4 linked regions of the Drosophila melanogaster genome follow. The protein of the gene in region 2 interacts with the protein of the main gene of each other region in a biochemical or structural test. Each region holds a gene or a part of one and is shown on either strand. Other genes may lie near its edges.

Region 1 (6,812 bases), 2.5 Mb from region 2:
AAATAAATCGGAAAAGTAGGGGACTCGAAAATCGAATGCGGCGCCCAAAAGTCGGCCATGGAAAGTGATTCGACGAAAAACGGGAAATACGGGAAATGTGAAATGCAAGCATATTTGGCTGAAAGCCCAGGCCAAATTGAGAATATGGTTTAAGTTGATTACACAAAAAAAAAAAAACTGCAGCTAACCGAGTTATGCAATTTTTGTTGCTGTTTCCGGCAATCTGTTTGCCCACTCGCATTTAAGAATCATTTTCCAGATCACTTAAGGGCTCTTAAGCACACCGCATCGAACTGATGCCGCATTATTATGCGAGCGTGCAGCTTGAAATAATATAACCGACATGCAATTTAGGGCGAGTGCAGCAACGGAACAGCCATAAATTTAATGCAAGACAAACAATATGACGTCTGGAGGGGGCGTGGCAGGTCGGCGCCATGGGAAAAAATCTCATCAACGAGCTGCAGCGAAACGAGGAGAAATATTGAATGCAATTTTATTTGCCACACACGCAAAGTGTGTGTGCAGCGCGGCAGCAAAGCAACAAACCGTTTGGCGAACTGCCGGGTGAATTATGGAAATGCATCATATTATTCCGCAGCTCCTGCTCCTTGGCCAGGATCGCCTCCTGCAGGATAACCTGCTGCAGGATAACCTGCTGCGAAATGTGTGAGGGCGTGCGTGTAACTATGCTACTTACTGTCTGTTTGCTTCTGGGACTGCCATCGCCAGACACACTCAGATCCACTGGAAAGTATTAGGAAAAGCTGTGAAGCTCAACAGAAAGATATAGAATTATGTTTAATTGCACTGGAAAATATTAGGAAAAGCTGAAAAGATCTACAGAAAAATAAAGGAAACTTGTTACCAATTGATTTATACTTTTTTGAGTTGCTGTTCTCCATTATTTATTTGCAGATTTAGATAGCACACAAACTTAGATGTCTTCGAAGTAATAAATTCATACTTAATTTATGTATTATTTATTATAAAATAGTTTATTTGTTAAGTGATTTTCAAAAATTTCGAGTGTATTACTAAAAGCCACGTGGCCAAAACAAGAAGATATAGCACAAAAAAAAGACAGGGGAAGTGCCAGATATATCGCAACGCGGCCAGAGAATCGGGAGATTGGAGCCAGGACGAACCTTAAAGGATGCTTTTACTCCGAACTGGAGCTCTTCGCCCACCGCATGCAGCTTGATAAAAGACGCAGTCATGGTAACCCACCTGCCACACCCGCCTCCTGCTCCTGCTCCACTCTTTTCCGCCCGAAAACCTCATCTGGTGTTTGTTTGTTTGTTTGGCTTCGCCTGTTTACGTGCAGTCATGCGAAGCTCCGGCCCAAACCTCGACTTTTCAGCTGATGCTGGAATCTGCTTCAATTGTTGTCTGTCGCCAAAGGATTCCCCTCATCCCTGCCCTCCTCGGCAGCCCAACAACCCGCTATGCTCCATCTCATCAAAATCCATTTTAAGATTTTTGATTTAATTCCGCCTTTGTTTGGCAAGTTGGTTACTGCTCATGCCCTCTGTGTATCTAGAGTTTAGATTTGCCTGGGCAAATTTGTTTATGCCCGTCAAAAGGCTGACTCTGCCGGAGACATATGAACATGTGAAGGACCCTCTTGGACTGTCTAGCAGTTCGTTGTATCCCAATTGAAGTGGAGCAGCCAGTGGAACCAGGAACCCTTTTCAATAGCAAGTTGAAAATGAAACAAACTATTGAAATAACACAATCATAGGCTCTTTAGGTTTACTTGAAATCAGTTTAATGGGTATCAGCATTTGAAAAAATTCGGTACAAGTGAAAAATTAATTAATTGAATTCAAACAATTACAAGTATTATGCTGCGTTACGATGAAATAATTGCAATATAAAAAAATTAGGCAATGAAAACACTAGTAGTAGATTTCAGATTTATAGCAAGTGTATAATGGTAGAAGGAGCAGTAGATTTATATGCAAGATGTTTCGAGTCGCAGCTATTAACATATATTGAAAACAGCAGCTAATCAATGTCAATCGAACTGCAGGCTAAACTGAAATTTTCCAAATCAAATTACGCACGCTGCATTGGGCAGCACGAAAGTATCCGCAAATGTGCAGCAGTTTGTGGCCGGAAAAGAGCCCGAAGAGCAAGTGGCAAACAATAGCTGTAGCAACCCAAATCAAATCATGGCAAATTAGTTGTAATTCAATTGCCGACAGTCGCCGTCTGGATCGTGGCCCCCACCTCCACCACCAGTCCCACCTCAGCACCAGCCCCTACATATGTTTGGGTCCTAATCCCCTTAGGCGAACTTGGCGAAAACTTGTTGATACTGTGTTTCAGCCCTCGACCTCCACAATTCATAACACCACAAACGTATATATAAACCTATAGAAATATATATATATATATATGTGTGGATAAATGTTGCACGGACAACCTCCAGGCGTATCCATGCGATGGGTGACAAATATTTGACGTTTTAGTCTAATTAAATTAGCCACATCGCCGCTCGGCCCTCGGGAAAGGTATAAATTTCTGCGCGTTAGTAGCAGCGTGTAAATTTCGCAGGTGGCACACGTTCGGGCTGCGTCGCGGGTTGTCTCTCGGCGGGTTTTCGCCTTCAAAAGAGCTGAAATTCAGATATACATAAACTACAACACACATTGTACGGGAATTCGGGAGTTCGGTGGCCAAACGTATTGTTATAAAGTATATGCCAGCATACAATTCATAGTCGCAGTCCTCTCACCTAAGCCGGTCACATGAAATTCCAACGTCCATTGTGCCAGCGAGTCGAACAATTGCACACGTTTTTATGTGCCGGAATGCAAGAAGTACGTATCCGTACGCTTGGTTATAAGTGGCTTAAGTGCAGTCCGTGAGCCAACTGAATTACGTGGCTATATCCTTCATTCATTGTGCTCCTGGTTGCTCCTGACTGCTCCTGGTTGCTCCTGGCAGCTGCAGGTTGCTCCTACCTCTTCCGTTGATTGTCAAGTTGGGGCTGTGTGTGCGGAGCTTGTGGTCTGTGACTGCTGGAGTTTCGATTCAACTGGCTGCCATCGCGATAAGCCCTTCGTTTTTATGAACTCTGTAAAATACTCAAAATTTGTTCTAGTTTTAATGAACTCCAGTGCGCTTGCGACAAAATTATGATACTTCGATCGGTGCCAGGCAGAATTAACACATCTCGGCTGCAGAGGGAGAAATTAGAGTGAAATATCATATGCATTTTACATCGTATGTTAACCGAATAGTTTATACTTGTTATAATATATACAGGTGCAGATATAATCCCATTTCGATGGGCAGTCGCAGTATGCACCTGCTGTGCAGGTGAACAGCTATAAATCCATTTATAAACGCTTCCCATGAAGTGGCGGATAAAACCGAATTTATTGCGACATTTTTATGTCCGTCCGCATTTTCGCCCGTCCTCCGCACTTATATTTCTATTAAGTTAATTAAACAATGCACCATCGGGGCTCCTGGGGTAGTCAGAACCACCTTTTGTTGGTACCGGAAGTGTTTTTTATGGAACAACCGCCATGATGATGGTTCCGAGTTTTTGCCTGCCGCGCATACAAAGCACTTGCATTTTTTATGACCAGCCCAAACACTTTTAAATGCATCTGCAGCATCCGCATCCATATCCGCATGCAGATCCGCATCCGCAGGAGCATAAAGCCAGTTTAAAGCAAAAGCATGTAGACGGAATGCATTTTTTCTTTGCGGATTATCGAAAAAAGCTCCTTAAATATTCATTTTGGCATTGTGTTCACACATGCGGAGGAAGGCAGCGGAAAATAAAAATATTTTCATCGGGTGTGGGAAAATATTGGGAAACAAAGAAATTAATTCTAATGGGAGAAACGATTGGCGATGATGTGAACAATCCAATGAGAGCAGCAACAACTAATACAAACTGCAGTTCGTTGCTAATGAGATGAGTGCAATAAAAATGTAAATCAAAACAGAAAGCCGATTGAACAATTGGTCATAAGTGGTGCAATAAGTGCTCGCGAATTTGGTGTTCAGTGTGGCCTTTGGAATTGACCAGTAACAGTCGGGAAACAGTGAAACTGCACAGTGTCTAATCAACTCACTAAATTGGCAAAACTTAAATCTTGCCCATGCAGATGGCACTTAAAAAGGGTTTAGCCAGCTCGGTCAGTGGCGGAAATAAAAAGAAAAACATTATAAACAGCTTAAATAGAAACTTTTTGCACGCCGGAAACCAGAAACCATAAACCAAGTCAAAAACCACCAGACACACACACACACACACCAACACACACAAGCACACCCAGTTGGACATATAACTATGGACTATACAACTATGAGTACAAAAGCAAAATCAACTTGAAAGTTGCATGTGGCCCGGCTTAGTATTGGACTTTTTTGGCTTTGCCATTGTGTATATAAATATATATGCCATATATGTAAATATCGTTCACTTTTCACTGCAAGTGTGCAAAGCCCTGCGACATGAAGTCGGATTTTGAACTCTGAACCCTGGACTTGGTACATGGAATACTAGTTACGAACTGCTGGCGTTCGGTTAAGTGAAGTGCACTAACTCTAGAATGGGTCGCAAAAAGAAGCTGCCGACGGGCGTAAGTAGAAACCCATCCAGGATCCCGATCCAGATCCGTATCCAGCAAGTAGCATGTCTTAAAGCCGCCAGTATTAGCTAAACGCCGCTTACCTTAAACGCCTCCAATGCCATTTAGATGGAAGCCAGACAATCAGCCCAGCATCCTCCACTTTGCACTTAATTTTCTTGTATGTTTATTTTTTATTTATTTGCAATTCCGCATACACGATTTCCCCCTCGCCACATCGGCATGTACGTATGTGGCTCCTGCTCACCTGTCTCTTTAAATTATGCCAGGTATCGTCTGGCGTCAGCCACGCCTCCTCCGCCCCCAAATCGGTGGGCGGGTGCTGTGTGCCGCTGGGATTACCACAGCCTCTGCTGCTCGAGGAGAAGAAGTTCCTGCTGGCTGTCGAGCGCGGCGATATGCCGAATGTGCGCAGGTGAGTAGCGCTTTTCACGCCTCCGATGCCCAGCAGGGAGGGGGGGGGGGTGGGTGGTGTTTCTGTATGGCATCTTGGGCGGGAGGGATACACTGCAAGAAACTCTTACCACAATCAGGTGTTGGATGAGCATTAGTATTCAAAGTTAATGTACAAGCTTAGCTAATGAATGTATCAATCGAGTAGAACCTAATGTATATTGATATATTTAGCCTTCAATTTAAAAGAAATAGTTAAACACACTACCACATTTATCCGAGTGTAGGGTGTTCGAATAAAAACCCTGACATTTTTAGAGGGGTATCACGAGCTCCAATGGTGGCTTCGCCCAGGGTAACACAGGTGTTGACTGGGCTGGGTCGCACAGGTACCATAAATCCCATCGGGAGCCTCCTTGGGTTCTTTGGATGCGGTGCTGGTGGTGGGTTCAATTATTTGCACACTCGTCTGCCGCGGGCCTCAAAATGGTTACCTAACTGGCATCCCGGCAGCCACTTAATAAGCAATATGAGGCCTTCGACCCGGATACTTTACGCTCGTTTACGGCTTTGCTTTAACAAATGTACGATTAATTCCGTTTGCTGGCAATGAATAAGAGATAAGCCAAATTATCCAAATACTTTTCGGTTGCCACTTAAAGCTGTTAACATGCACAATCAATTCGAGAAACGAATCTTATTGAAAAGCAACTTTTCGGATAACTTAAGTTCCCTTACCTGAAAGCACAACTAAACCTTACTTTTTGTTGACATCCCAGGATGTCATTTATGAACAATTCTTTATTGTTTTCATCGGGCGAGTGATACGGTAACAACAAGCAAATGAGCCGTGTCCGGGGTTCCTGTTTCATTTGTGATTCCCAATACGCTTTGGAGGCATGCACGATGTCCATATAATCTTGCATCTAATGTGAAATTGTGGAAGTAGTGGCGAAGTTAGTGCTAGTCTTGGATCTTGAGTCTACATGGAAATACGGCAACAACAAGCAAATGGGCAGTGTCCTGGGTTCCTGTTCTTCGTGTGATGCTCCTTGCGATTTTTAGGCATGCAAGATAAACCTATAAGCTGACATCTTATGTGGGTAGGGTGGCGAAGCTAGACCTAGTTATGGATCTTAAATCAACTTGAATATTGAGGTGCTGACGGTGCGATGTGGGTAAAAGTGAAAGTGTGACGGCTATGACGTCTATGACGGCTATTTGGGACGTTTTGGGAACATTTAAAAGTTGATAAAACGGTATGGGTTGAAGCTTTTCATCTCGTCCAGGGTGTAGCGGTAGCGGATGCCCTTCGAAGGCTCCTCCTCGGAGCCGTTCGAGTCGTCCTCCTCCTCGCGGATCTCAGAGACCCGCTCCACCCGGATGCCCTTCATCTGGCAGGCGCGGCGGTACAGCTGCTCCTCCCGGTCCATGTAAAACTGGCACGATACGCTGTGATTCGGAACGGGCGGCGGTGGGATCATGGGACTAGCCCCAAATGGAATCCCTGCTGGCCCATACGTAGCCGGGGCAAACCAGTTGTTGACCAGACCGCCTCCGGGCACCAGCTTCACAGTCTGGGTCTCTACAAGATTTAACGAACATACTTTTCCTACACGAATCTTCCGAGAACACACTTGGCTATTGGCTCACCCTTGTTCTTTTGCGCCATTTTGATCACCAAGCTTTGACCCTCGGCGGCATCCATTGGGTATTGAGTTTTTTAATCGTTGGAGCGTACAAATAATTTAATCGCCTAATATTGGGTGTAGTGTGCAATCACTGTAATCGCGTCTTGGA
Region 2 (6,827 bases):
TCCGTTCGGCAAGGAAAATGGAACAGAACAGAAACCCACTCGCTTTAAGCCAAATCAGCAATTGGCATTGGAATTATAGCGCCCTGCTTGACCTTATCTAATCGGGGGAATTTCGGTGAGTTTAAACAGCGAATACAAGCAAATTTGGTAACGGCAACGCGTTGGTGGCACCTGTTTTATTTGCACTTTTTGTCGCGTTGGCGTTCAATTGAATTTGCCCAGCTTATCTTGGCGTACTCTGGGGCAGATAAAACGCTTTTCAACTGGGTTATGTCATTGGCAAGCATGACTAAGCCAGAAACAGAAACCGAATGAGAAACACCCATCGAAATGCAGATCCCCAATCTGTTGAAAAGCAAATTGAAGCCCTCCTGTCTTCAAATGGCGACATTTGCAATCAACAACATGAGCAAAACCCCACCCACCGATGATATCCATTAATGGCAGTCAATCGGGCGAGGTCGTTAATCGAGTGGGGGGCTGGCTAATGCCTAATTGGTAATCCATTTGTATGCACAATCAGACGCCCACGACGTCCCGAGGAAGCTTCCACATCCAAGGCAAATACAGTGCCTTCCGAAAATGTATGCCTGGGGGATCAGGACTCAAGCTGTGCGTATATTTATCGGGATTTGTCCGTCATTTTTTAAGGTAGTGACTCATTGGATGGGTCATTGTATAGTAGTTAGTTCAAGATCATCACTTTTCACTTGCAAATAATATGATATCAAATATTATTCATACTTATGAATACATTTTGATAACAATAATTTTAATACACTTGGGCTTGAATCATTTATAAATTCACAAACGAGTTCTGCTGAATAAAACTATTTCTTCCAATGAGTTTGACAGTTAAATACAACATTAAAACAGGTCTTGGCTGAAATTATGCGGCTTTATGTTAAAGCCAAGTTTGCCGGGTTTACCGTTGTATAGCCGACGCTTTTTTTTTTTTGCCGGTCTCAACCGGTTTCATGGAGTTTAGTTTGGTTTTATGAATGACGGTTAGATTGAGAGCTTGGTTTTTGGGTACAATTTAAGTGCATTCGCACCGGGATCCAAACAACTGTGCTAACTGAGCCATAAGCCAGTCATTTGCCATTATTAACATGACACACACACATATCATCGGGCATTCATCATAGGCCATATGATCATATGATGAAGTCAGCCCAGGAACACAGTGACTCATGGAAATTTATATGAATGTTGGCTCATTTTCAACGGAAACAAATAAGATATACAGACAAACGTATCTCATAATTAGCCGAGCTAAAGATCAACAAACTTTGAAGATCAGTCAGTAAAACCCTTGGCAAATGTTTGCTTCTGGGCCAAGTTAGCAGCGTTGGTTGAATCACTGAAACAAATTGGCCACGTAGAAAGCGATGCGATATATTTTAATTAAAAGCTGTTTGCATTCTGCGTGAGCTGTAAAATCGCTAATTAAATTAGGCGACACCAGATGAGGCTGAAAGAAGGTGTGGCGCGGGTGTGGGCATCGCAGTGGGCGTGGGGCTTTCTTATCAAAAAGCGCAGAGGAAAGCAAACGAACGAGAGAAGAAAGCGCAAAGAGGGCGGCAAGAAAATTGGATTATGTGGTTAAGCGGCGGCGTCTAGCAGGAATTTTTCTTCATTTGCAGCGCTCCTCCTCCCCCATCGTTCGCCTGTGCCGTTACAATAAAATTCTTGCGCGAAAAGGCAAAGTGGAACAGGCAGCCGCCAACACACACACCCATACGCTCACTCACACGCACACGAATACGAATACGCGGAGCCGAACGAATGAACGACCGAAGCGGACGAACCAAGGCGAAGGCGAAACAGCAAAATAACCGCAATGCGGCAAATGAAACGGTTATGGAAGAAAACAAGAAAAGGCAGGCGCCGATAAAAGTGACAAGCGCAAGGCGCAAAAAAAAATGAAATGCTGAAAGAAACGGAAAGAGAGAGACGCAGCACAAAACGGAACTGATAACGCAAACGAAATAATTGCACATAGAGAGAGACGAGAAAGTGTGTGAAACGGTTATGCGAGAGAGCGTCGAAACGGTTAAGCTGAGCGCAAGAGCAGGAGAAATGCCTCTAAAGAATTTTTTCACCATTTCCATGGGGCCGTGTCTAACCTCAATTTTTGCGGCCAAGTGTGCGGTAAATAAAAAATACAACCAGAAAGCAAAGAACAAGCGAACAACGAACGGCGGGGCAAAGAGGAGAGGCCAATAATGCCGGGACCGGCGACTTTGTTGTTCATCATCAATATATATTCACACATTTTCCACTGATAAGCAAAATGGAGGGCGCTTTTCTATTATTTGCGGGGATCTTTGAAAAATTGCTGATAAAAGTGCCGATGGCAACGCGTCTATGTAGGAATGCGAGTGTGTGTGTGCATAAATGCTCAACAAATTGGCTAAAATCACATTGATTTATGATCCCAAATGGTGGTGGTGGGTTGGGCAAGCAGGGGGGCTTCGAAAATGAGGTGTTGCTCGAGATGCTGATAAGAGTTTCCACTTTTCCACGCCTGATTGGGTTTCCAGGGGTATTTCTACCCGAACGTCATGGAATTATTATAGGGCGAACCCGATCGCGTCAACATTCCGTGTGCGACAGCCTTGATAAAATAAATAATAATTTTGACGAGTGACGTGACATGTGTGTAAATTCTTGCTATTGGCATTGCTATTTAATTGTGCTGCTTGTTTTCTGTGACCCTAGGGGCCAAAGTTGAACATTTGATTAAGTCAGGTTAAGAACATGAAAATCTTGCAGCTTAAATATACTAGTTTAAGTATAAACTTAATTTCAAATGATTGCATTCACTTTTTCTCAATGCAGTTTTATGGATTTTGATTATGTTTCATTGTGAAAGGGGTATAAACTACCATATTTTCAAGGGGTTGCATGGTGTTCGCAATTTCTTGTTTCTAAATCAACGATATTGGGTTGTTGAAAAAACTGGTTTTTTCTACCCGTGAGGCGATATATTTTTGGGGTGCAAAATGTAAACGAATTTCCCGGGGACAGCTGCTTTTCGACGGGGTGTTTGGTGTGCTGGGATGTGTGTAGCGAGTGTGTGTGTGTGAAAAGCCGTTAAAACCATATAAACAACGTCTAATTGGAAGCGATTCGCTCCTCCCGCTCGCACTAATGGCAATAGCCCTGGGGGTCGCTGTCTGACTTTGATTTTTCGCAAAAACTGTGGAAATTTCAATGGAAAATGATGGCCGCAGGTTGTGTAAACAGAAAATAAAGATGCACATGTTCTCCAGCCCCATAAACTTACCATTTTTGTAGGTGTTTTTTTTTTCTGTTTGTTGCTAGAGTGACGAAGTTTTAATCCGCTGCGGCTACTGCTGCTGCTTGGGTGTTGGTATGTGTGTGAGTGGAATTACGGAACGCGCGGTTAACTTTATATTTTACTAAATTAACACACTGCAAAAGAAGCAAGAAGAGGTTTGTTGGGTATTACTTTCGGGGGGTCAACTGGAGGTGGAAGAGGCTGAGGAGAAAAACTACTGCCAGCTTGGAGAGAAAGAAAAGCGTCCGTCCAAAGCACCGACGCCGACGCTTTTTTTTCTCGCCGTGGCAGTTTCTGAAATTTCTTTAGTGTTGTTGCTTCAGCCGAATTTAATACAAATTTTCGCCTTGCGTTTCTTCTTTATTTTTTTGTGGCTTTCATTCGTTTTTTTTTTCATCTATTGTGCGAAATATGCCAAACACACGCGCGCACACGGCAGAATTCTCGTTTATATAGTAGATATATGGCGGGGAGAGCTAATACATATAAGAGTTGCTCGAATTCGGTTTTTATAAAGATATTTGTTTAATTTTTTGCTCGTTGGTTTTCTTGATTTTTGGCTGGCGCTGAGAAATTGGCTTTTCCGCGAAACGTTCGCAGCTCCTGGTGCTTGGGTGTGGGCTCTTTTCGCTTTTTTTGTATTTTTTTTTTTTTTTTGTTGGCCCAATACTGCTCTCTATATGCAATGTCTGGTCTGTTTGTTCTGACAACTCACGATCCTAATCTGAATTTCCGTCCGCAACGGTCGACGACTCAAAACTTTGTGTTCAAAATAGCGCTGCGTCGCCATATATACGGTTTTATTTTGCCAGCAGCAATAGCAATAACCGCTCTCGCTCTCGCGAGAACGAACCGGGTAAGTTCGCTTTTGCAGCGGCAGCGTCTGCATGTGTTTGTTTCTGTTGCTTATCCACTCACCTTCGTAAAGCGAAAATAAGTTTGATTTCGCCGTTGTAACGGTCGCGCCGGCGCTTTTCGCGAAAATAGGTGTGTACAAAAATTGTATCAACATACTACAGGTAACTAAAGTTATAAATAATAGGAAGCTAGCTTCTGCAAAAATAAACTTATGCATAGGTTTGCCCTTGCAGTAATAGAAAAAAATGAATCAACTATGTATGTACTCACATATGTACATCTATATAAACAAATGTCTTTTTTATTGTCCGTTTATTCTAATTACCGGTTGTGATTTATGTTTATGTAAACAGTTCTTCGATTTTTAAGTTCAAATTTTAATTGACAAAAATATACTTCAAAATGTTGCAAATTTTATTCTTAACGGATAAATGTTAACGTAAATGTTAAACTAACATTCGATGTTAAAAAAAAACGAACTGTAAAGTCAGCTGTTGCAAACATATAGCATTTGCCATTGCATATGATGGGGAATTAACATACACACATACACATGTATATTATACAGCAGACAGAAATTACATACGTATACGTTATTAATAACAATGACGGTAAATTTTTCCATATATTTTTCGATTTTCGACTGAAATTGCTATACTTTTTCGAAGTGATCACCTAAAATAAATCTTCTATTTGCACACCATATTAAAAATAATTAAGAATTTTTGGACAACTTTAGATTTTGGATTTGTGAGTCCGATTAACTAACTTTCTTCGGGTGGATCTTCATTTACGACATCTTTCGACATCTGGCTGGATCTGCGCTGAGTTTCCTGGCTATTACGCGGAGGAGTATCGGACTTCCTTTCGGTCACATTACTGGCGGACTTCCTTTCCGGTCCGGAGGAGAGGAGCATCCGCTTGGTGCTGTACAGATCACCACTGCTGGCTCGCGGATCCCGCTGGCGACCAGCGAAACTCAACGAGGCTCCGTGGGTGGTGATGAAGGATGTGGGCGGTGGGGGCTCGCCCCGCTTGATGGCCTCCTTTCTCTCCTGCTCGCGGCGCTGCTTTAGGGACAGACGGGCCTCCCGCATGCGCCGCTTCACCTCACGCTCCTCGAACTGCTCCTGATCGAAGGGTGTGTCGGCCGCTGGAGGACGCGTCTGATTTATGTTTCGCTTTATGTAGGTCTCCAGCTCCTCGTCGGTCATGTTCTTGGTCTTGATCAGCTCGGTGAAGGCCATCTTGGCCTCCAGCTGCTTCGCCTGGGAGCGTTTCAGGCGATAGAAATCCTCGCGCTCGAACTCCTCCAACTCGCCGCATATATAGTTATAGGTATTTTGCAGGATGGGTATTACCTTGCGGATACAAAGTGATATTTATTGAAGATTATCCATGATAACATATGGATCATATGAATTAATTATAATTACCACATGCTCCAGAGCATTGACCCTCATGTTGGTCTGCAACGAGGCTGCCTCCAGCATTCGCACTTGGTATTCCAGAGAGGCGAACTCCACCAGTGCCTTGAGTGCCTTCGTATAGGAGTCCCTGATTCGGCTCACTTGCATACCGCCACAGCTGAGACCAGCCAGCGGAAAAGCGCCCACGCCCTTCGTCTCCAGCTCCAGGGTGTTCAGCTTGACGCCCACAATTTTGATCTCCGTGCGGCGTAGCGATACGGTTGCCACGTGGCTGCGGCTTACCATCTGCGGCTTGAAATCGGCGCCCAGAAGATTGGCCTTTGCCATCGAGAATATGGCATTGCGCATCGCCTCATCGCCGTGCATGTCCTGGTCGAAGCGGATGCGACGCAATTCGCGTAGCTTCATATCGATGGCGTCCCGCTTCCGCTTGAGGAGACCCACGCCCCTTCTAGCCGCCAAAACGCGCTGCTTCATGATCACCGAATTGGCGCGGGATGGAAAGATGGGCAGGATATCGCGTTTGGCCATGGCGGTGACTTTGGAATTGGACTCTGATCACGTAGAGTTTGAATTTGGCCGAATTGTAGACTTTGTTACAAACGAATTACTGATGTGAGTATAAAAACATATGTATATTTTTAAAACCACGCTTATAAGAGGTTTTCAAATGCTTATGGAATAAATATGAAAATTGTGGAAGAGTGCTATGAATTAGCTGGGATTTTATGACTCAATCGGCAAAAAGTCAACAAATTTACTCCCTTGAATTCTTTTCGAGCTTATCAAAACTTTCAATTTGTATAGTGAATGCAGTGGTGTATATTATAAATATTTTGTATGAATAAGAAATTTTAGTGCTTGCCAAAATAAGAATTAGAAATGAATAGTTATTTTAGGCTGTAATTATACTAATTAAACTATTTATCAATCAGTTAAATGAATTGTTAACCCTATAATTGAAAAAAAAAATACCAAACAAATTCCTGATCCGCCAAAATCATTTTAAATTACTCATACGCATAGTTGCCTATGGAAAATTACGCATACGCAACGTTGCCTTATCTATGCCTGATATTTAAAACAGCATTTTTATTTAGCTCTCGAAAATGATGTTTTAATTTACATTAGCTTAATCCCTAGAAAATGGAATCATTCACATATAATACATTTGTTATTTGTGCTAAAGATAATGTCCACAAATCGGCAAACCAGCGAATGCGTGTGTGTGT
Region 3 (9,635 bases), on a different chromosome or scaffold from region 2:
CGCCCTATCATCGAACTACCTCACGTCCTGTATATCAATGCTCAGCTGCCCCGCGAACATCGGCACAAATGGCGCTTTCTATTCTCATCGAAAATCAACGGGGAAAGCTTCTCGACGATGTTGGGAAAAGTGCTGGACAAAGGACCAACGCTGTTCTTTATTGAGGACGAGGATCAATATATATTTGGCGGCTACGCGTCCGAAACGTGGTCCGTGAAACCGCAATTTGGAGGCGATGACAGCTCATTGCTCTACACCTTAAGCCCTGCCATGCGGTGCTTTTCGGCCACAACTTATAACAATCACTATCAGTATTTGAATTTGAATCAGCAGACTATGCCGAATGGCCTGGTGAGTAATGTTTATAGCTAATTGATTGATTGCTTTGCTAAATGTTTATATTTTTCGTATACAGGGCATGGGCGGTCAGTTTGATTTTTGGGGCCTTTGGATTGACTGCAGTTTCGGCGATGGACAAAGCGTTGAAAGTTGCACTACATATCGAGACTACGTGCAGTTGAGGTGAGTGTAAATTAAAATCTTGATTATGTTTCACCTTACAGACCACTAGATTCTATATTTTAATTCAACATTATTTTAAACAATTGTGGTTAATCTACCAATTATTTATCGTACCCAAGTAAACGGAAACAGTTCAAAATACGAAACATGGAAGTTTGGGCCGTAGGAGACTTACCAGTTAAAGAAGAAGACGAAGAAGGCGACGGTCACGTATGTCAAATTAAACTCAATATTATATTAAATAAATAATCATATCTTTAACCCATAGAAACGTTCTGTGCTGGATGGCAATTTGGAAGATCGGGCCATGTTGGAAATTGCGGGCAAGAAAATGCACTCGGATGGATTGCGTGAGCCCAACATGGATGATTGATATTATGTGAAACTATTTAAGGAAAAAGTTTTGTTTTATCATCGAGAATTTGTGAGACCATGCCCGATATGGGTGTGCAGTTAATGATTCAATTCAGTTTCCTTAGCTTTTTTGCAATCCCTATCGAACACACAAAAAAAGTCCTGCGAACAAAAGAGTATTTGTTCAATCCATTCCTATAAACGTTTTTGTTTAGGTATTAATGTTTATATATACAATGTATAATGGATATAGTTTATGAAATACTGAGAGTATTGTTGTTGCGTTTTAGATCTTAAAGTGAGAAAAGTAAATCATTTAAATGATGTAACAAAGAAGCAAGCATAATAAGCAATGTTAATTCGTCGAATTTTTCCCATTTTTATCCTACGTCAATAAAATGCAAATTAATTGCTGAATTTATATCAATGTCTTTAAAGTTAAATGTTTGAGTATGCCAAGGTAGCATTTACCTACAAATAACCTAAATAATTAAGTGGTTTATAGAGATAGAAAAATGAAATGCGGTAAGAAAAAAGTGAAAATTTAAATAACGATTTATCCCAAGACATTTTATTTATTCCATTGTGTGAAACGTTTTTGAGAAAGTGATGAAGAAAACTTCAATCATTATTTTGGAATTTTAGGTGGGTTTTAGCTAAATTGTCTTATGGTTTGCATAACAATTAATTTTAATATTTTTACTCTTAATCACTAGTTTTAGATATCGACGGCATAGCCTGAAAGAGTGATTCCAGGTGCAATCTCCTCTTCTACATAGGATCCTGCCTCCTCGAAGGATCTAGCATTGCTATCTTCGAAGCTGCGACCCACGCTGGCTGGAGATTGTCTCAAGGTCGGAGCCCTCTGCTGCTGGCCAAACTTCCTAGACACACCATAGTTTCCCGATGATGAATTATAGCCCTCATCGTCTTGGTACCGGCGACCTGTCGAGCGTAGCTTGGGCGGCTGGAACGTGTGTTGGTCACCACTGTCCGATCCGCGGCGATTGTTAAAGTCATAGGTGTTGGTCTCGGATCCCCTCGGATAGTTAGTCTTGCGCAGCATAGCCTTGAAGTTGAATGGTGGATCCTCAGAGTTCTGGAAAGAAAATATCTGAAGAATTTCCTTAGGAAATTGACATACACTTACATCACCCTCGTTGCGAGCCATGTTCTGAAGTTCTCTAACTGGATCCGACGGAGGATACGAGGATCTTTGCTGATAGTTGCGTTGCTGCTGGTTCGGATTATTGCGATAATAGTTGGATGAGGGCATTGGTGGAGGAGGAGGTGGAGGCGCCGCATAGCCCTTCAAGGAGTTGCGCCTGGATCCGGATCGATGTACGCCCCAGTTCTGGTTGTTATAGTTGCTGTTATAGCTGTTGTAGGCATTGTTATAGGCATTCATGTTCATCTGCATTTGATTTCTGAAAAAAAGTGTTAGAAACTTAAGTTCAACCTTTGAGTATCTTTGCTAACCTCCTCAGCTGTTGGGGATCTCGGAAGTAGCCCTGATTGTAGATATTGTCGCTCTCGCCCATGCGATCCCAGTTGGTCTGGCAAGCCTGCTCCTTCTTATAGGCATTGTAGGTCAGGGCACAAGAAGTCATCGAAGGATTGCGTTGCAGAGGGCTGTCCCAAGGCTCATCGTCCTCCATGTGCTGCGTTAGTAGCTGATTGGGGAAGGCTTGGCGGGAAATGGAATTGGCCGGGTCCACCATATACTGGGTGTCATAGAAGGGTATCTGATCCAGGCGGAATGGCATCTTTTTTATGGGCACTGGCAGTGGTCCTAGCTGCGAGGAGTTCACTTCGCGCATATTGATCCTCTCGAAGGGCACAGCCCGAGTACATTTATTCAAGCCAGCCACCATTCGTTGGTTGTAGATGTGGACCTGGTACATAATATAATATATATATATATATATATTGGATTTGAAGATAAGAGATTTGAACTCACCTGCTGTGAGAGATTGACAAAGTCCTGGAAGCGAGCCGCGCGGTAGTGCAGGAGGACCTGGAAGATAGACTTCTCGCGCCATTTCTTGGCAAACGGACGGATAAAGTCGGCGGTGTTCTCGTTTAGTTGGCCGGACTTCTCGTTGACCAGCGGAGGGAGGCGGACGCGGTCGCGGAATCCCCTGAAGGCTGTGGGAAAATGGAAACGGAGGAAGGCCGTTAGAGTAACCCATTTGAAAAGCGGTCGCGGCGGTGGACGGTGGTGGTGAATGAGAGGGAAGTCACCTTAATTTAATTAAATTTTCATTTCTTTTCTACGCAGCACTTATAATTCATCTCTTTTCGCAGGGGCCGTCGATGTTAAGTGTTATGTCTCAGACAGCTATAAGCCGATTGGTTGCATCAGATGGAGAACACAACCGCCCAGCGGGATGGGGTGGGATGGTATCCACATTGGACACCACTAAGCGGCTTAAGTGGTTTGCCGAGGCCCTAGACTAGATGATAGCTGGTTGTTTGCGTTTTCTACATTTTATTGGTAGTCGTATTACGATTAGTATCGATCGATATAGTGATATAGTGTGTATAAATGGTATATAGTAGGGGCCTATTCCTCGGCGGAGGCCTGCTCGATTTTGGCTATTCGCACCGCTGCCAGAGCCTCATCCATTCTGGCCTCGAGGAACATCTCCTCCGCCTCCGAGGGCGTCTCGCTTATGTCGATGTGCTCCTCGTCGTACTCTCTTAGCCTATCCACCTGCGTTTTTTTACCTTTTTGTATTTTGGACGCGGCCACATCATGATGCTCCGGTCCCTTTTTGCCCACTAATAGGGAATTTAAAATTAGATTTCATACCATATACTGTATAAGTATTATTTATATCTTACATTTGAAAACTTTGCCGCCCTTAACTCGTTTCCGTGCTAGCAAAGCTCGCATCATGGACTGCACTTTGATGACCTTCTTCACCTGCAGCTCATACAATCTGAAAGCAATTGATAGTACTTGCTTTTCTCAATGCGTATGAATTGATAGCTCACCTGGCTAAGAACTCATCGTTATAGTAGCGCAAAAACACCTTGGTCTTGCCCAAGGCCCAGCCTTCCATCTTGAGGCGCAAGAATAATAGACGACAGTTATCCTTGGTCATTTCCACGGGCTCATCAAAGTCAAAGGCAAGGAATTGGTATCTAATACGAATATTTTAAATATTTAGAAATCTTTAAATGGAAACTGGAATGGAATCGATTACCCACCGCCTTAGGAACTCGTCGAATGGCAGACGCGAGCTGAATCCCTTCTGGCGAGCAATAACAGTGTCCAGAACTCCCAAGGCCTTCATCTGTTGCTGGACGACATCCGAGTGGAAGGATCTGGGCTTGTACTCCAGATCAGCGCGAATGCAGCGAACGAAGTGCACGCCGAGATTTGCATTCTGGCTTAGCATTTTGAGCAGGGTCAGGCAGGTGAAGCGGAAGTTGGCCGCCAGGGTACGTAGATTGTTCACTTGGGAGATGCATCCGGCACTTAGGGTATTCAAGGCCTGAAATGCATAGTTTACAAAAATATACCAAATTTAGGTTAGCTAATAAAAACTGTGACAGACTTACATATGACTTCCGTTCAGATTCATCCTTATGCTGCACTGCCTCGAATGGCATGGTGAGATTGCCAGCCTTGGTCAGTTGATTGGTGAACATGAGCATGATGCTCTCATCCAGCGAGGAGCGGAAGGTCTCGATCATTTCCGGCGGCACAAAGTCCCGGTTGATGTCGGTGAAGGCGCGCGTATCATAGATGATGCGGCCCGTGTAATGAGCCACGGATATTTCAGTGGCAGTGTGCTTCTTCACAAACTGGCTGTGCTTCTCCGAAACGCGATCTGTAGATGGAAAGTGGTTAAATCACATATCCAAAGTGGTGCCAGAATTGGTTGTATACCCATAATCAAATCCTGATCTTGACAGGAGCGTGAGGCATCGTCAATGATGTAGAACAGGCCATCCGGTTTGGTTAGCAGATTATCCAGAGCTGTCTTGTTGTCATAGAAATTCAAGTTGATGGTGTCAATGTCTTCAGCTTCCATTTCCAGCATTTCGCTGATAAAAATACGTTGATTGTAGTGATATTGCATTTGCTCGTTTAGAGTATTGATCATTAGTTGCTCCAGACCATTTCGATTAAAGCACTCAAATCCAAACATGTCGTGAATAATGATGGCATTTGTGTCTCCGCTTAAAAAGTTATTTAAGCCACATTGTTAAACTTATGAATTTGTAACTTTTTTTTTAATATTACTTACAACACAGCCCGTGGGAAGGACATGTTCATGTTAATCCTGTTGATGATAAAGTCCACCAATCGAGAGTAGAGCGTGCTGGCCACCGCATCGCGTGCATCCCTAGCTTCTTCAGTGGTGTACTGTCGCCTCTCGGCGATCCCGCCCTTGACCATAATGAAGTTGGTCAGAGACCACATGAACTTTTTCTCATCCACACGGAGGAGCTCGGCGATCCGGGACACAATGTCCGTGTTCTCCACTTCCGCATACTTTCCGTTCTGCCGGAAACGGATGTTGCCAATGTTCAAAATGGCAGCCAAAACTTTGCGAACGGTCTCCAATTGCTTGTGATTGAAATCAATGTCCCGCAGGATGTTCTCGAACTCCCTGTACCTCTCCACATTGCCCTCGGGATCATCACGACGATACTTGAGTTTCGATGGCGGAACCTCTGGCGGAACTCGCAGATAACGATAATTGCGATCAGCCTTCAGATTGTACTCCTTAAGCTGATTTTGCTGATTAATAAAGTCGTAGAAGTAGTAGAAGATGTGGAAGTTGTGCTGGGTTCCGTCCGTAGTGGCCACTCGTAGTTTCTCCAGCATATACATATTAAAAACGGCCCCACTCATTTTGCCGGTTTTTCCAAAGGTCAAGCAATATTGTAGGACACATCTTGTGGAGTCGTTGTTTACCGGAGTTCCTGCATTCACCAACATCAGGATGGCCTTGATGGAGCTCTCCACGCGCCCGGTGGCCCCACGATTTCCATCACCCAAGTAGCACAGATGCTTGATTAGCAGCCGGGCATTTGTGGACTTGCCCGAGTAGCTCTCTCCGGAGAGCACGATGTGTTGCGGCTCCTTATGATGCAGCATATCCTGGTAGGCGATATCGGCCACCGAGAAAATATGCGGCTGGTTTTCCGAACGCGACTTGAAGCGATACTTGGCATGGAACTAGAGAAAGGATAAATATAACATATTTAAGTATACATATTAGATGTTTTCAACTTACCTCCTGCGGAAATTCCTGCTTGATTTCATTGGAATTCAAGGATAAAAGGATATCGCCAATGAAACTGTACGATTCCCCCATCAAAATGCGATGACGCAGTGACTCGATTATGTTTTCATCCACGGGATTTTCCAAGGCAGCCAAGTCCTCCGGATACATCTTTTCCGGCTTCTCATCGAACCTCTTCACATAGCCGCGGTCCACGAACAATTCCGGCTCCTTGTACAAAGTCTTTACATCCCTAGAGAGTTCCAACATTTCTGCGATGTCCGATCGCATCTCGTCCTCGTTTTCGATGAGCTCCGTGAGGAATGGATGCTCCACCATCTCAACCATCATGGGCCGATTTTCGGCATTTTTCTCCAAACTCTCGGATATAAAATCATTGATCTGCTGCGACCAATTAGTGGGTCGCATTAAGGTCGGCGGTGGATTGCGAATGATCTGGAACATGGCCCTAGTGGGATGCATGTCAGCGAACGGTGGCTTTCCATCGGCCAACTCAATGGTAGTGATTCCCAAGGCCCAGACATCGGCACGAACGGTGATGTCCGGTTCGCGGGATTCCATGGCGGACACCACTTCGGGAGCCATCCAGCAGGGAGATCCAATGCAGGTGCCCCTCTTGCCCAGAGTGGAATCCACCTGACGGGATAAACCGAAATCGCACAGCTTGACCCGTCCATTTTTGGTCAACAATATGTTATCTCCCCGAATGTCCCGATGCAGGACATGATTACGGTTCAGCTCGATGGCAGCACGGCAAGTCTCCCGGATAATGTAGGCGATGTGCTCCTCTCGCATTCGACGATCCAGTTTCAAAAGCTTGTTAACCATGTCCACTGCTGTTCCCCCAGCGCAGTACTGAAATATTCAAATGGTTTATATAAATTACAAAAAATTGGATTTAAATTTTTGGAAAAAATTTAATAAAATATTAACAAAATGTTTTGACTCACCTCCATGACAAACCAGATCTCATCAGGTCCGTTTGGCTTCGACAGCTTGTAGACGCCATAGAACTCGGGAAGATTGGGATGGTCGCAGTAGTCCCGCAGAGTGCGATACTCCTCCTCGATGGAAACCTGGTGCTCCTCATCGTAGTGCTGAATCTTCAGGGCAACGATCCGATCATTGTCGAGCTCCTTGGCCCGAAAAACCTTGGCATTGACGCCTTGGGCTATCTCCTCGTAGATCTCGAATTTATCCGTAGGATCCGGCAATTGCGCGTACGGTAAATACATCATGACTTAGATGCTTATTCTGAATATTCGAAGAACATGTGGGTTAAACTTGGGAATTGGGTCTATCATAAAATGGGCTTCAAAGGTTTTCTTTTTCAATTTTCCCTCATGCAAATCGCATTATATTTGGGTTCATTGTTGCAAAACACTTAAGAATGGGCATTCTAGAGGTTTCATTGTAATCTTTTGCTTCTAATAACAATTTGCTTTTTCTTTAAAGGTGAAAGTTAAGTTACTTTGGTTTACTTAACGTAAGGATATTTTGGAATGTTTGCTTTGCAAGCACGAAAGATTTCAAGGACCTTTAAACAAATAAGATGCAATTTTGAAATGTAAAATTATAATAAAACCATTTTCTATAAAACACTTAAATAATTCATGTGAAAACGAAAAAGTTAAATGTACGATTTATCCTTGGTAATTAATCCTTCCTAGGTTTGTATTTTGAATCAGCAACTTTGGATAAAGGGATTCTAGGGGGTTATTTGTATTATATCCACTTCACAGGGCTTCAAACACTTAATCCTTCAGGACACACCTTCGCTGCCGCAGATTGGCACACTTATCCTGCAGCTGTGTATTTTTGGTTGCAAGGATGTACTTGTGTGGAACTTCGAACCGACCGCACGCATGCAGCACGTACCGCTGCCGTTAGCCAACTAAATGATGGGCCAATGCAATCGGAGGCTTTTCACTGGCAAGGAAGGAAGCCATTCAATGGGCAGTACCTGGGTGCACACCTTGGACAACTATTTAGCTGGCTAATTCAATTAGCGGCGGCGACATTCACGTGCAAGTGAAAAAAGCGGCGACACAGATGGCCAAAATGCCGAGGTGAAAGGGAAATTGGCAATGCGAGTGAAAGTCAGCTGATTGACAGACTAATTATGCATCTTATTGTTCGTATTTACAAAATATATTTATACGTATTCCAAATGGCTGGAGATTGCTAAACTAGGCATTGCATTCACACACGTTGTTTATTGATGTTTGCCCTATTGCGTACTTTATGTTTTTTTTTCTGTAATACTGATTTCTTTGTGTGTTAAGTTCTGTGAGAATGAAGAAAAGTCTTTTCTTATGCATGTGGCTGAGGCTCCATCGCTCCATCACTTCATCGTCCTTCGTCTTGCGTCCATTGTCCTTAATTGCATATGCTAATCCATTCCTCTACGTGGCACTCCTCGCACTCCACATTACAGCACCATTGGAATTTACAGTGACACCGCTCCGCCCTCCGCTGGATGACCTGGCTGTGGCCACGGCCACAGCAGAGGGAGGTGCATCCGTCGCTGGTCGTGGTGTTCCGATTGCACTTGCGTCCCACGGTGCCTGTGCGGAAATTGGCTCAGATTAGTCATGTTTATGTTTTTCTAAAGATATAATCATCAGAAAAGAAAATTATGTGGTATCTATTAAAATATAAAAATAACAAGTTAATAAAATTAGTGGTGTAAGATTTGCGTAATTAGCAAATGATTAAGTGTTCTCATCAAATGCAATCCATCGCCAAATGGCAGTTAATCCCGCCTACTGGCGGACAAGCAATTAAAAGACCATAAATAAACTATTAAACTAAAGCACAAACAAAGTATCATAATTGTTTGGCCGACGATAATTGCCAGCGTTAATTGCTATCATTTGAATAGACACGACACCGGACACGGACACATGAATCAAAACGCCCGATGGGCTGGCTGCTCCCCAGTTCACTGCTGTTGGAGCCTGAGTTGGAGCTTGAAGTGAAGCTGGAGTTACCGGGCTAAGCCGACGATTAATTATAAATTTGCGTCGTAATTAACACTTTTAAACTGCTGGCAGTTGGCGGGGCAGCAGCGACGCTTGATAATTTGCAAATGTGTCAACAGCAAAATGGCTAACGAAAATTGCAAGTGGCAGTTAGACGTCGATTTCGATGTGAACGTGCCGCAGTTTCGACCGATCCCCCAAGCCAGAGTACAAGCAAGGGGGGAGAAATGAGGGGATACAATTAACCCAAACTCATTTCCAAGCATAAAAAGTAACGATTTTCTTTTAGTATGTTTCGGCCAATTGTAGTTTAGATAACATATCAAAAACCTTTATTTTAAGAATGTCAAATAAGAACCCCCCTCAGATTTTCAGTCTCCGCCACTGCTTTATACAATCCAAACTGAGTTGAGCTGATCCGAACCAATCCAATCCGATCCGATCCAAACTGAGCTAAGCTAAGCTGAGCTGCTGTGCGCATGCGTCGCTGTCGCATTTTTTTCGTAAA
Region 4 (6,792 bases), 3.8 Mb from region 2:
GGTGTGCGAGATGTTTTCGAGACGGCAACTAGGGCCGCGCTGCAAGTCAAAAAGAGGAAGAAGACCAGATGCCTTTTGCTCTAAAAGAGCAAATCAACAACATGAAAATCTTTACCACACACACACACAGCAAAAACAACAGCATAAACACACACAAACACACATACACACCTTTTACAACAATAACGAGCTGAACAACAACCACTCAACAACAACATCAAGAACAACCAGAACATCGGATACACGAAGCTGCACCACCACCCAACCAGCAACAAACATGAGCAGAAAACAGAGAGCTTGAGCTAGAAGATCAGCGGAGGAGGGATGCAGCGAGATATAAGGGAAGGCAGCACCAAGTAGAATGTCAAATGCGGATTTGATTTTATATACAGTCTAGTGTAGTTATAAACCGAAGTAAACAACAGTAATAACTCTGGCATTATTATTTGTAAAAACTAGGGCAGAGCAGATCAATCAGTCAGCCACTGCAAGCAAAAAATATATATCGATATATGTAAACATATTCAAGTTGTGTCCGTTTCTGTCCACCCCCTCCTCCTAGATGTATGTTATTATTTCGTTAACTGTGTTGTCAAGTGTAGAGTCGGCTGTGGCTGGACGAGATTGTGTCGTATGCGAGGGTGAGTGAGTCAGGTGAATCAGTGGAATTAGGAACAGAATCGGAAACGGAATCGGATGTTGGATCCCGGGGTCCAAGGAGGTCGTAGGCGTCAAGATGAGAGTTATGTTCCCATTAAATCTATCAAATACAGAGAGACCAGGCCGCCAATAGGAGTTGGAAGCGAAACTACATTACAAGAGCCGAACTAAACACAAAACAAAACAAAACAAAAACGATAAATGTTTATTTAACTAAACGTAAGCCACAAATGAGATGCATTCAGTTTTCGCGTGGGAGATGCTAAGAGGGAAAATTTTTGATGAAGTGAAAAACTATTTCGAGCGCATTAAGCGAGTTTTTAATATTTGTACTTTGCATTAAAACGAGTGGAAAACATAAAAAAAAAAAGATACTACAAAACAACCAAACAACTATATGAAGAGTATTTTATGATTTTATAAAATACGATTATACATATAATTATACTATACAGTACATATGTGTATGTCTCTTTTTTTGTATTTTGTACCGTCAATCGTGTAATTCTCACACAGAAGTTGAAAAACTCGAAGATGCATCAGATACAACCAAACTATATTATACTTATGAATAAACAGTACATTTGATCTACTCTTGGTTTAACTAACTGTTTTCTTATTTGGCCGGGCATCGAATTTTATTAGGCTAAGATAATGGATTTAAATCCGGGGAATACCCGCCCTTTAAAGTCAAAACACTTATCTTTAACGGGGTTAAAAAAATCTTTATTGAGGGTATTGTTTTTGTTTATTTTGTGCTTTTGTATTTAATTTTTTTTTTTACATTTAAAATGTACATAACATTATGAATCAAAATGTTTTGGTTTTTCATCGATTAGGTATTAGGTTTCACAATATTATTCCCGAACAGGTATGTCGTTTTCGAAACAACATGGACACGACACATTGCTTTGAACATCTAGTTCCCAAGCCTTTTCTCTTAAAACGTACTTTTTAATCGCTTAACTTTCGCGGCGAAAGCAATTCTATTATATTTCTACCCGCATTTGATTCGTTTTCGTGTTGGAGCTGTTGTTTTTCTTTTTTTCGTCAGTCGATCTGTTTGGTTCGAACGGTTGCAGGATTCGCAATAACAATTAATTATTAGTAATTATGGGTAGTCCATTCAACTGTTTTTTGGGATCATGTAACAAACAGAGTAATTAAAGCCGTGTTAGTATTTTGTTTCCGGTGATGCAGTTAACATTGATGAGAGGAACTCATGGTGATTGCTTAGAGAACGTGATGTGTGGTTTCTTGTGGTAAAAGTAATCAACAGATTTCGTTAAACTAATAATAAATAAACTTAGGCGTAACACGTGTGTCCTTAACAATATAAACAATAGACTTTTCTCAAACTTAAACAACAAATGCATCGGCTGTCGTGGACTTAAATTATCAATTTGGGCTTGGATCTGAAATGAACGCACATTCTCATTCATATTTCATAATTTGCAATGTTCCCGCGTTTTACATACTTCTTAGGTCGATCGATCGATTTATAATATTAGTATACATTAAATTCAACATTTATTCGATTAGTTAAATGTGTGGCTCGTGTAACGTATGTCATGTGCGTGTATTCTGGGTAAATACGTACATACATAAGTTTAAAAATCCTCCAATTCTCTGCCCTTCGCACCTGGCAATTGGCTTTTGGGTTAATCTCCTGGCTAGGATTCAGAGTTGTTCAGATTGTTAGTGGGGGAAGACTCGACCCCTCGATCTTGCTGAATTTAAATGCTTTTGAGCTTTAGCCAATTGCCACACTTGCTTAATCGCTCTCGTCTAGGAATCAACATTAGTAATATTTACTACATAAACATATGTACGTGCATTGTTAATATGTATCTTTTGGATCGGTGCTTAAACGTATTGATATACTCTATCGCTGATCTACTGCCTCGCTATCCTTTCCGGCCAACAACAAGTACTTTAAATAGTTTCCATAACAAATAATAAATAAACCACTGTGGCCATAACAATTAGTTATCTGCTCCTCGATCGGTTAATTTCTCTTTTGTATGTTGTATCTGATGGGTATGTGCTATATACAAAATATAGCAAACAAAAGTTACTTGGTTTTTGTGGTTAATATTGCACTCATTTCAAGGAATCCGCCTCCTGGTCTAGTTAAGGTTTCGTCTGCGCCGGAAAACCAATGCGAAAATGGATCGGATGCGCCACCAGCGACTTCGTCGCCCCGTGTGAATCTTTTCCGAATTGGAGTCCGTGCCCAGGGCCTTGTGCATTTCCTTGCGTCGAATCTCGCGGACCAACGTGTAGAATGCCTCGTCGATGTAATGACGCAGTGCAGCCGATGTCTCAAAAAACGGGCAGCCGAACTGGTTGGCGAGATTCCGGCCCTCCTCGGTGGTCACGCGTCGCTGCGACTCCAGGTCCACCTTGTTGGCAATCAGAACCAGCGGAATGTCCTCGGACAGGCGGACACGGGTTATTAGTTTCCTGTACTCGGAGGCCTCCTGGAAGCTGTGGCGGTCGGTGACCGAGTAGCATATGATGAAACCTTCGCCGCAACGCATGTATTGGTCCCGCATGGCCGTGAACTCCACCTGGCCGGCGGTGTCAAGGATGTCGAGCAGGGCGGCCTCATTGTCGATGACCGCCTGTTGCTGGTAGGAGTCCTCTGCAGCAGCAAAAAAGAAAAAAAAAACCGGTATACATTTAGTGGGGTTGTGGGGGCTTGTGCCTTAGACGCCTTGCGCACCCTGCGCCTTACTCACCAATTGTGGGGTCGTGGTAGTCCAGGAAACTGTGGCTCACGAACTGAAGGGTGACAGCTGTTCGGGTTTCGTCGTCGTTTTCAGAGGGCGTTGGGAGTGGTGGTTGGTGGAGTTTCGTGGGTGTCGGTGGTACGGGGGTCAAAACAAAGCGTAAAAGAAATTGAGATAATTTATTGATTTTTCGCAGCCCCAATCAAAGTGCGCAGTGATAACTCGGCATTTTCTTTCGTCTAATCCATGGCTAGAATAGCTCACCTGACTTGCCAACGCCACCGTCGCCCAGGATGACAATCTTATAGACCCGCAGACCGCCGCGCATATTCTGCGGCGGCACCGGAGGCGGCTTGATCAGGCTCCCGTTGTCCCTGTGGTCGCTGGGCACCCGCATCGAGTCCGTGTCGGCGGCGCTGGTGCAGGACCTCAGCTTGCTGGATCGCTTCAGGGCCGCACAGCCGATGGACATGTCGCCGGCCATAATACCGCTGACCTCGCGGATTTAGACCTGGTCCGTGTCGGTCCTAGTCCCGTTCGATCGGATCACACGGAGAACCTCTGCACCGCCGTCGCCAATTGTGTATTATTTTCTTGTTTTTTTTTTTCTTGGTCGGGGTTGGTTCCCTTCGAGATGGGCGCGTGACGATACTGGAGACTGCAGTGCGCATGAATTTTAATGACATGCGATATTTAAAAAAAAGCTAATTTTTTTAATTTAAATTATTTACTTGTATTTAATACTTTGAGCACTTTACATTTTAAATCAAATAAATCAATTTGTTCTGTTGTATGGATAGCGCATAGACATAAAATATGAAAAATCCACGAGTAACAGAAAAAATTACATTTGGGTTTTCTAAACGTTTGCGTTGCTGAACTGTTAAAATTAAATTCAATCTATCGACACAACACGATTTAAAATAAAACATAATTATTAGAATTAAATAAATGTATAAATATTTATGCGTAAATATAGTTTTTGAGAGCTGTCATGAGTTTTCCATCCAGAATAATAAAATTGAAATAGCGGTGCCTTTACTGCCCAGCTGTCATCTCTAGCTTTCATCATTCCCGCCGGATCTGGCAACGCCACTGTCTCTTTATAAATAATTTTCCCACGGTGCGAGCGGTATTTGCATTTAGTAACGTGCTGTTCGTCGATCCAGATCGCCCGTTTTGCCCGGTCCGCTCGAAAAGGAAAAACAAACACTCTCCATTATATTGGCATAGGTTTTAGTGCCTTTAGCGAGCAAAATGTCGGGCGATGTGCAGCCGCGTAAGCGCAAGGATAAGCGCCGAAAACGCGGTAAGTCCCTGTTACGGTACTTTTACTTACAATCATACTCGAATGGACCGTTATTTGGTGTGAAAAACGGTTTTGTCTTTTCGCCGCCGCCGCGTAGCAAGCAGTTCATTTCTTTTATTAGCATAATAATATTGTCGAGTGCCTTTAAAAATAACTTTGCCCTATTATATAAAATTATACATCTCGCCTGTTTTCTGTCGCTATGCGTGTGCCGATCGAGCAGGAAAATATATATGCATGACATGTGTGCGGGCGAGGAAGGCGGGAGGTAGACCATAAAGTGGGTATTTCGATCGGTAGCCAAAGAAAAAGGGCATTGAATCGGTGTGCAAAAATCGAGAAAAATCAGAGAGAGTGGTTTTCCCTGATTTATTTATCTTTTTCCCAAGGCAAACAGATGTTTCGTTGTCCCTGGGGTATCCTCTTATTGCTATCTCTCTCTGCCACTTTTTCTCTCTATTGCTCTCTTCTCTGCGTTATCTTTATCTCATTGGAGAATGGAGAGCTCCGTCACCTTCTCGGCAAATTAATTCCAATGCAACAGAGATCGAGATTTACATACACAGATACTACAATAGATACCAGATAATGATGCTTCCGTAAAGATTCTGGGGCCATTACACCCACGGCACCGAAATAAGTAGCCACGATGGTGCATATATGTGTAAAGCCATTTAATTTCACTTGGCCAACTGCCCAAGAGCATGACTGGGCGGCTTCTTTGTTTATCGTTGCGCATATTTAGGCATAAACAATTCCCCCCAACCGGCGCCGTCTTATCAGCTTGTAATGCCGGTATATGTCTCATTGTAACTAACTTTTCGTCTAGATGATCGCAAGTCCGAGGGCGATGTGACTGTTCTGCGTCAGTCCAGTTTTCAAGGTAGAGAAATAGATACCCCCCTATATGTATTTTTCCCAACACACCCCGGAATGCTTTGCCAAATTAATTGAATGTCTCGCTCAGTTACTAAAACCAAGTAAAACACTCGAAGGTGGATTCAATTAAACTGCTTGTAATCACATGTGTTTTTTTATTATTCACTATCATGCAAATGTCGGATCTCAGATGACGACGAATCTTCGCACGGCGTTCACATTACAAAGATGGGAAACGAAGATCTCCACCTGCATGTGCACCACGATCACGGAACTGGCGGTCACTGGTGCGCCAAGATTATATTCTTCGCCCTGATGGCAGTGCTCCTCGGTTTGGTGGGTCTGATCATCATGGAGAATCGCGGACTGGAGGATCGTAAGTTATAGAATTCTTAGAAATTTGAATTGTACTGAATACCTGTTTTATTTTAGTGGACACTCCTCTGTCGGAGTCTAGGTTCTCGAAAGTTTTTGATGGCTGGGTGGACGAACATCGAGATGAGCATGATGGTCACGATGTGCAGGAACCCTCGGGAGAGGCGTTAGATGATCACGATGAACACGACGACCATGATGATCATGAAGACGAAGGTATGTTAATATTAACTTAATATAAATTCTTTTAAATATATGAACACTTTTTAGACGAAGAGCCCCTCACAGAAGAGTTAGAAGAAGAACTGGAGGAAGAGGAAGAGCCAACTGAGGAGGATGAGCCAGCGGCAGATGAAGAATATGAGGAGGATGAAGATGAGGAGAACAATGCGGGTGAAAACATAACTGCCGAGGATGCGGAGGAGGAGGAAGAGGAGGAGGATAACGATGATGAAGGCACCGTAGAGGCAACTGTAGAAGCTACCACTGAAGCCACTACGGAAGCCACTGGCGAATATGAAGCTGAAGAAGATGATGAGGACGAAGCAGCAGCAGATGATGATGCAGTAGAGTCCACTGAAGCGCCGCTCTCGAAAGCTGAGGAGGTATGATCCTTAGTTTGTGAAAAGATTGAATATTTCCAAAAATTAATTAATTTCGCAGCAGGAAGATGATGAGGATGAGGATGAGGAAGAGCAAGAGATCGAAGAATCAGTAGAGCCGGAAAGATCCCAATATGCGGCACAAAGTGCTCCCGCCAAAGATAATAATGACGACGACGATGATGATGTTAGTAAAATATCTAATTGCTTGTTGGTTTAAATGGTTTTCTTA

The links.
Region 1: the proteins of Cam (region 2) and trpl interact in a test that uses a peptide from one of them, tested with the Drosophila melanogaster proteins (2 studies listed by BioGRID).
Region 3: the proteins of Cam (region 2) and ninaC interact in a test that uses a peptide from one of them, tested with the Drosophila melanogaster proteins (2 studies listed by BioGRID, with this or other methods).
Region 4: the proteins of Cam (region 2) and Ric interact in a test that uses a peptide from one of them, tested with the Drosophila melanogaster proteins (2 studies listed by BioGRID, with this or other methods).

What each region holds. Positions count from the first base shown.
Region 1 is NT_033778.4:9,751,150-9,757,961, forward strand, and holds the start of trpl (transient receptor potential-like), read left to right. Parts: upstream 1-2,547; 5' UTR 2,548-2,690; exon of another isoform or gene 2,691-2,828; intron 2,829-4,464; 5' UTR 4,465-4,580; coding exon 4,581-4,610; intron 4,611-4,888; coding exon 4,889-5,034; intron 5,035-5,143; exon of another isoform or gene 5,144-6,253; coding exon of another isoform or gene 6,254-6,597; intron 6,598-6,665; coding exon of another isoform or gene 6,666-6,720; exon of another isoform or gene 6,721-6,812. Other genes in the region: CG1690 (uncharacterized protein), read right to left, coding at 6,254-6,597, 6,666-6,720. UniProt on the Drosophila melanogaster protein: A light-sensitive calcium channel that is required for inositide-mediated Ca(2+) entry in the retina during phospholipase C (PLC)-mediated phototransduction. Required for vision in the dark and in dim light. Binds calmodulin.
Region 2 is NT_033778.4:12,256,654-12,263,480, reverse strand, and holds the start of Cam (calmodulin), read right to left. Parts: upstream 4,084-6,827; 5' UTR 4,023-4,083; intron 3,450-4,022; exon of another isoform or gene 3,442-3,449; 5' UTR 3,296-3,441; coding exon 3,293-3,295; intron 3,206-3,292; exon of another isoform or gene 2,668-3,205; intron 1-2,667. Other genes in the region: Vha36-2 (vacuolar H[+] ATPase 36kD subunit 2), read right to left, coding at 4,930-5,526, 5,602-6,126. UniProt on the Drosophila melanogaster protein: Calmodulin mediates the control of a large number of enzymes, ion channels and other proteins by Ca(2+). Among the enzymes to be stimulated by the calmodulin-Ca(2+) complex are a number of protein kinases and phosphatases.
Region 3 is NT_033779.5:7,376,147-7,385,781, reverse strand, and holds ninaC (neither inactivation nor afterpotential C), read right to left. Parts: upstream 8,081-9,635; 5' UTR 7,917-8,080; intron 7,398-7,916; 5' UTR 7,382-7,397; coding exon 7,094-7,381; intron 6,999-7,093; coding exon 6,135-6,998; intron 6,077-6,134; coding exon 5,139-6,076; intron 5,071-5,138; coding exon 4,778-5,070; intron 4,719-4,777; coding exon 4,447-4,718; intron 4,380-4,446; coding exon 4,093-4,379; intron 4,027-4,092; coding exon 3,877-4,026; intron 3,822-3,876; coding exon 3,724-3,821; intron 3,661-3,723; coding exon 3,607-3,660; coding exon of another isoform or gene 3,443-3,606; exon of another isoform or gene 3,025-3,442; coding exon 2,837-3,024; intron 2,772-2,836; coding exon 2,356-2,771; intron 2,304-2,355; coding exon 2,027-2,303; intron 1,976-2,026; coding exon 1,595-1,975; 3' UTR 1,438-1,594; downstream 1-1,437. Other genes in the region: CG5149 (uncharacterized protein), read left to right, coding at 1-351, 416-522, 642-732, 791-895; Wnt10 (Wnt oncogene analog 10), read right to left, coding at 8,523-8,710. UniProt on the Drosophila melanogaster protein: Required for photoreceptor cell function. The ninaC proteins combines putative serine/threonine-protein kinase and myosin activities. Essential for the expression and stability of the rtp protein in the photoreceptors.
Region 4 is NT_033778.4:16,105,968-16,112,759, forward strand, and holds Ric (Ras-related protein interacting with calmodulin), read right to left. Parts: upstream 4,051-6,792; 5' UTR 3,880-4,050; coding exon 3,660-3,879; intron 3,462-3,659; coding exon 3,405-3,461; intron 3,308-3,404; coding exon 2,790-3,307; 3' UTR 1,473-2,789; downstream 1-1,472. Other genes in the region: Rho1, read left to right, coding at 1-84; Asph (aspartyl beta-hydroxylase), read left to right, coding at 4,653-4,704, 5,774-5,959, 6,016-6,174, 6,235-6,563, 6,622-6,747.